Kluyveromyces lactis: one gene and its partner. The protein of the gene in region 2 interacts with the protein of the main gene of each other region in a pairwise test. Links are inferred from orthologs where the notes say so. Each region holds a gene or a part of one and is shown on either strand. Other genes may lie near its edges.

Region 1 (3,760 bases), on a different chromosome or scaffold from region 2:
GATGTTCCACTGAATGTATCCACACATGCTTTGAGGGTCAGTATAGTATCATTTTTAACAGTTGGTGACGATGCTGCCAATTTATCTAAGAGGTTCCCAAAAGCATCCTCCTCAAACTTTTCCGTGGCAGTGATGGCACTTCTCAAGGCTAGTTTCAAATCATTATTGGTAATTTTGTATGGATCATTACTTGGGGGTTTGAACATGATTGGGAAGTAGCAGAATAATATATCAAATAATTCCTCCTTGAAACTGTCAATGTTGCGTAAACCGGTGCTAATATCAGAATTCAAACGGAAAGATATGAGAAGATTTCTAGGATCTTTCTCACCAGTTGCAACAAGAATAAAAGTTTCGATATATAAGTCATTCAATTTGAGATTGCCCAACATCTGGGATTTGAATTTGATAAGTATATTATCCATAATCCTGAATCCGAAATATCTAGTCGCAGCCAAAAAGTTAGTAGGTTGATAGTCATTTCCTAAAAGTTTTAACAGCTTTTCGACGTGACTAACGTAAAAACAGTCCATTAGTACTAATGAGTTGATCCCTTGTAGTGTTTCTTTCATGCAGCCTGAATCTTCCATCTTACTTTGGTAGAAATCGAATATCACTGAAACATCATTCTTCTTTAGTACCGCTGGTGAAATGTGTTCCAATATACAAGATAAACAGCTCAATGCATTTTGTCTGGTGCTATCGTCATCAGAGGTTAAGTACTCTCGTAAAAATATTACAATTCGTAACAATTCAATGCTCTTTCGAGTTACCTCATCAGCGATCGTATTGGCCAATTTGTCTGCCACAGAAGTATTAACCTTTGCATTAGCCATAAAACTGACAATGTCTGCTTTCAATTTATCTTCTGTATAGTCTGTCGCCATTATGGTACGATATAAATATTTTACAGTGATAGGGCGGTCTTCAATGACAAGTTTATCGAATGCTAAAGCACTAAATAACTCGTTGAGTTCTTACTCGTTCTTGTTGACTAAGGTTGGGTTTTATTCCACATTACGATTTTGATATGTGCAATGCTTCCGATTAGGCTTAATTATTTGATTACCCGGAACACTCCGTATCATGTGACCAGATCAAGAATAACAATTCAGTGAAGTTAACAGTAGGAGATGACGATGAAATGATCTGCATAAGGGAGTGGAAGAAAGAATTGCTGTCTACGCGGTAAGAGATCGTTATTCATAATTGATCGTGTTCCCAAGGTTTATGGAATACGAGAATTTGGGTTGAATTGTGCTTTTATCAAAAGGCCTATTGTCACGAAAATTCGCTTTCCAATTGTTTTAAATCATAATAAGAAAGGTCCAATACTGCCAGATATCCACAACTTACAATTGGACATGAACTCTGGGTTTATGTTTCCTCCAGTGGGGAAAGAAAACAGGGCACATGGTACCTTACTTTCTGATGATATGGGTAATGATTTTAAGTTTCCAAGTGAGAATGTGAACCAAGTAGAGGTTGAAAAGCAACAACAGTATCCTTCCACCCAGATTGACCAGGGGGCTGTGCAACATAGCAATACAGATTATCCTCAACAGACACTGAATATCATAGACATTCCACCGGTAGATCCTAATGGTGTGACCCCAGAACAATTCCATATCAATGCATTGCAATTGAACAAGCCGGGAGATAACCTGTCGAACAAAATTACAAACAATATAAATTACAGCATCAACGAGGTATCTCAGCAACCAAGACCTGATCCTGCATCTGCTAATAGTACATCCTCATTCCCCGATGAATACGTTGCCGGATTAAGACAGAAATCGGCAACTGACTGGAAAAGTCCGTCTGAATACGCATTACACATTCTTTTCACAAAGTTCGTAAGATTTGCCGAGATGAAGCTTAATATATGTTTACAATATCCGAGAGAGACGGAACCTCCAATTATAGAAATTTTAGGAGAAGGCAAGGATATAGAATTTGACAAAATTATAGAATCGTTGGGTTTCATTTCCAAGAAAAATGCGAAACCGGTAATAGATGCAATGATGTTTTGGAGGAAGACAAAGTCTGAAGTAGCTGCTTTAGCAGCGGAAAAACTGGATAAAATCATGCAAGAATATGAGCAGTATGTGAAGAATAATGAGCAAGTTCTGGCAGCTAGTCGAACTCACTCAAAATCATCTAGCTCAGCTAGCAGCAGGTTGACACATAGAAGAAATACCTCATCAAAGTCCTCTACAAGCCTGAATTCTCATTCAGATCCCAAATTTGCATCATTAGAGAACCAGGTAGAGAGAACAAAAGAAATGGCTTTCCAGGCCGATAGAAAATCTCTTATTACCATTTATATTTTGTGTCGTGTTTTGATCGAGATTGTCAAGCAGAATCCTATGGACTTTGATGATGAGTTAAGTACGAAGCTTGAAGGTATCGTTTTCACACAATTGAAGACTACCGATCCATCATCACTGTCTTCAACGCTAATTAAATCAGCAAATTGGAACTCGTTCGCGGAATTATTAGGCTGGATGAGTGAAAAAAAGTTTATCTCTGTCAGTGATAAATTTATAGCAGATCTCGAAAAAATCCCTCCCAAAGTTCCCCGTGATCAAGAGCCCTCTGTGCACCTTTTAATCCTAGGAATGCGTTATTTGAGGCTTAAAAACTATCCTCTAGAAATGTTTGAGGAAAGTGCAGGGTTCATCAAATCTATTTCGAAGTTCTTTGCTCCGTCCCAAAACACTTCTATTCGTTTGGCTTATGCTGAAGTACTAAGTCAACTTTTATTGCCGTTGGCTGGAGCAATGACAGCAGAGGCTAATCATCCAACGTGGATAGAAGCAATGACGTCGATCCTAGCTACCTGTAAAAAACTTCAAACTGACAGCAAATGCTGGACACTTGCTTTCAAGTTGACCGTGGCAGTGTTGTGTGTCTCAGATACTGAATTGTTTTCCAAAAACTGGTTATCTTTGATCGAGAAGAACGTTACCAAAATTAAATCTAAGTCATTAGAAGATCGTGTTGCTTTCTCCATGGGCCTTTCAAGGTTGATATGGGTCTATCTTTTCAGATGTACTGAAACCTTAAACAATACAGACAAAACGTTGACAAAATTGTTCTCGTTATTTTTGAGTTCAAAGAAGAAGGAGAACTGGATCACGACAGATATGGATATCATAAACCCTCTATGTGATGTTTTCGTGACTGTGGGATACGTTCATCCTACCTTCGTATTTGAAAATGTTCTTCTACATTTGATGAAATCCTCCTTTAATGGGACGAATTTAGAGAATATTGCACATGAAAAATTGATACTAGTCATCAATACTTATAGAGGATTACTTATGACTAAAGAAAGGCCTATATTCCCTGATGGAGAACGCAGGTTCTATGAAGTTGACTTGAATAAGATATCGGTACATTCTTCGGATAAAAATTGGGCCAATCATGAGGAACTTGTGAAGTATTTGTACAAACTTTTCATGTTACTTGATTCTAATATAGGATCAGAGGTGTGGTCACCGGAAAATGAACACCGTCGCCAACCTTCCACACCTTTCTCAAATATCACAAATTTTGGTTTCGGAATCAATAATGATAACAGTGCAAATTATGCACGAAGCCTGAATATGGCACTTTTTGCAACCCTTATTGAGGTTTTGCCCTGCTGTTTGTCAGTGTCTCAAAGCATTCCATTCAAATCTACGATTGAAATTCTATCCAGGAATGCTGTCCACGCAGATCAGCTGATTGCGACAAGTGCCCAAAATGCATTGAA
Region 2 (3,760 bases):
TTCGGTGTAGTCGAGACAACCTCAGAGAATTGTATATCAGTGAAGTCAACGCTACACTGACTGAACATAATTAACAGGAACTCAGTCGTATTAAACAACTGGGGTTCAGATAGCCTGGACCTCCCTATACAATAAGAAGAAGAGAATAGAATTCCTGCAATCAAAATAAGCTGGATGAAGCTAAAGAATATTTTTTTACTAACATCGACATGTATCACTATCTTATGATATGTTAATTTCTAACAGTTAACGTTCCAAAGACCAGAAAGACTTACTGTAAGGGTAAGGAGTGCCGTAAGCACGCCCAACACAAGGTTACCCAATACAAGGCTGGTAAGGCTTCCTTGTACGCTCAAGGTAAGAGAAGATATGACCGTAAACAATCTGGTTTCGGTGGTCAAACCAAGCAAATTTTCCACAAGAAAGCTAAGACTACCAAGAAGGTCGTTTTGAGATTGGAATGTATGTCCTGTAAGACCAAGACCCAATTGGCTTTGAAGAGATGTAAGCACTTCGAATTGGGTGGTGAAAAGAAGCAAAAGGGTCAAGCTTTGCAATTCTGAGATTATCTTTTGGAAGACCAATTTGTTACCATTTGTCAATTTTTTAACTTTTCTATAAGTATTACGAATTCACATATACTCTTTCATCACATTTATAATCTCATATCTGTCATTTGTATAGTTTAGTCTCCACTGGGTACTTCTTCACTTTGCGATTTGTATTATACGTATTCTAAGTATAATTTTCAGCAGAACGCATAAGAGTTTATTAACAAGAATTGTTTACAAAGAATAGCGTAGGACTCAGGCTACATTATTGATCCTGCAGGCAGTAAAGCTTACATATGACCTTAGCTAATATAACATGTACATACTCACCATGTATACCACTTTTTTCATTCCATTGTCTAAAATATGTTTTCAATATTTGCCATAATCGCCAATTTCATTGGAAAAACAAAAACATCGAATCAAACTTGTTTTAGAAAACAACGAACATGAAACTATACTGTTAACGTTTAGAGACATATTTCACGTCAACAAGGCCGTTTGGACGTCGCTACTTCAGCAACAACACGTAATGTACGGTGGATATTCGAATCAGAACTACTATCAACAGCCTTCTGGTCGTCCAAACGATTTTCAGCAACAGGGAAACATGCCCTTTTCGGAACCTTCTCAGCCCATGTTCAGCACCAATTATATGAAACAACAAGGATCACAGCCGTCTTTACAAGACCGTCTGACCCAACAGCAATCGCAACCTCAGTCGCATAATAATCAATATTATCCGAATGGAGGGTTTACTGATGTGCCCAACTTGAATTATCCAGCGACTCCACCACCAACTCAAAGCATTTATTCACATAACAACAACTCTAATTCGAAGGTATATCAATCCGCTCAGCATACATCTCCCGGTCAATATTCTGTTGCCAGTGAGTCCGGTTTGTACATCCCGCCACCACTGCAGCAACAGCAGAATGGTCAACAGAGTCCTGTGAGATCGGTACATCAACAGACACAGCAAACACCGCCAACATTTACTCAGCAACAAAGCTCTTCCCAACCTCAGTCACCTCAACACAATACGTATCATGCACAGCAGCAGCAGCAGCAGCAGCAGCAGCAACAACAAACTCAACAGGCCCAGCAGCAAGGACAACGACAAACTCAGCAACAGTCTCAGCAGCAAGCTCAACAACAGAATGGATCGGCGAATAATTACATGTATTTTGAGAGAAGACCTGACCTATTGACCAAAACTACCCAAGACAAAGCAGCTGCTGTTAAGCTCAAGATAGAGAACTTTTATCAGAGTAGTGTTGGTTATGCTATTGAAAGAAATCAAAGAAGATTGGAACTGGAATCCGAATTGGCATCCCAGGACTGGTCCGAGGAACGTAAGAATAGACAGCTTGCTTCTTTAGGTAAAAAGGAGTCACAATTTTTGAGACTACGTAGAACGAGATTATCGTTGGACGACTTCAATTCAGTGAAAGTCATCGGTAAAGGTGCCTTTGGTGAAGTTAGATTGGTACAAAAGAAAGACACAGGCAAGATATATGCTATGAAAACATTGCTGAAATCGGAAATGTACAACAAAGATCAGTTAGCTCACGTAAAGGCTGAAAGGGATGTTCTAGCGGGAAGTGATTCTCCGTGGGTTGTTTCATTGTATTATTCCTTTCAAGATTCACAATATTTGTATTTAATTATGGAGTTTTTGCCGGGTGGTGACTTGATGACCATGTTAATCAGATGGCAAATTTTCACAGAAGATGTGACAAGATTCTACATGGCAGAATGTATACTTGCTATCGAGGTCATTCATAAATTGGGCTTTATTCACAGAGATATTAAACCAGATAATATCTTGATAGATATTAGAGGCCACATTAAACTATCAGATTTTGGTTTGAGTACGGGGTTCCATAAGACTCACGATTCAAGTTACTACAAAAAGTTATTACAAGAGGACGAGGCAAAGAAACAACAGCAACAACAACAGCAACAACAGCAATTAAATCTACAAAAACCTCAGCTCCCAAACGAAACAAACAATGGTAATAGAAATACAATGTTGGTTGACGCCATTCATTTAACCATGACAAATAGACAACAAATGCAAACTTGGAGAAAGTCGCGTAGACTAATGGCATACTCTACTGTTGGTACTCCGGATTATATTGCACCTGAAATTTTCCTGTACCAAGGTTATGGTCAGGAATGTGATTGGTGGTCATTAGGAGCTATTATGTACGAGTGTCTAATTGGTTGGCCTCCATTTTGCTCTGAAACACCACAAGAAACGTATCGTAAGATCATGAATTTCGAACAAACTTTGCAATTCCCCGATGATATTCATATTTCTTATGAAGCTGAAGATCTAATCAGAAGATTGTTAACTCACTCTGAAAATCGTCTAGGTAGACATGGTGGTGCCGATGAAATTAAGGCACATCCTTTCTTCAGTGGTGTTGATTGGAACACTATCAGGCAAGTGGAAGCTCCTTATATTCCTAAGTTGTCCAGTGTCACAGATACTAGGTTCTTCCCAACTGATGAATTAGAAAATGTCCCTGATTCACCAGCAATGGCACAAGCTGCAAGACAAAGAGAACAGATGATGACACAGCAACAAGGGGTTCCTCAATCCAATGCAAAGGAAGATTTACCATTCATCGGGTACACGTACTCTAGGTTTGATTATCTAACTAGAAAGAATGCTCTATAGTAACGCTCTCTGTACATAACCGCGACGGAAGTTCCTAAATATAATAAAATAAACGAAAGTAAGAAATACTACCAAGAATTATAAACATTACGGTCATTAAAGTGGAGAAAATGTAGATACAGCTGATTCCCAATAGATCATAATCAAATTGACTCAATATCAGGCGCCCAGCAACGTACTTGGTATTAAATCTACGCTTCAACACAAATTATTAAAACCAGGAAATAGTGAACAACACATAACCCGGTCCCCGCGCAGAACGAAATCTTACACAGGGATAACCGTGGAGCGATAATATTGATGTTGATCTTTTAGGAAACAAATAGTAACTAAGGTTAAACTAAAATAGTTCTAATGTATTTAATCATTGAAAGGCCTATAAGTGGAAACGAAGAAATATGTATCTGATTTTATATACTGGCAAAAAAAATTTCATGTTAGTGTGAATGATCTCCTTACTCCGGGTAACGGAGTTTATCAAAGTGTTTTCCGTCCAATATAGATTCAAACCCTAATGAGG

The links. The genes of interacting proteins can lie anywhere in the genome.
Region 1: the proteins of CBK1 (region 2) and TAO3 interact in binary tests that used the Saccharomyces cerevisiae proteins (3 or more experiments, as listed by UniProt). The link is inferred for Kluyveromyces lactis from reciprocal best matches to the Saccharomyces cerevisiae genes CBK1 and TAO3.

The regions. Positions count from the first base shown.
Region 1 is NC_006042.1:443,309-447,068, forward strand, and holds the start of TAO3 (Tao3p), read left to right. Parts: upstream 1-1,364; coding exon 1,365-3,760. Other genes in the region: MET18 (Met18p), read right to left, coding at 1-887. UniProt on the Saccharomyces cerevisiae protein: Seems to play a role in cell morphogenesis.
Region 2 is NC_006040.1:668,575-672,334, reverse strand, and holds CBK1 (serine/threonine protein kinase CBK1), read left to right. Parts: upstream 1-1,083; coding exon 1,084-3,240; downstream 3,241-3,760. Other genes in the region: RPL42A (60S ribosomal protein eL42), read left to right, coding at 247-563. UniProt on the Saccharomyces cerevisiae protein: Protein kinase that seems to play a role in the regulation of cell morphogenesis and proliferation.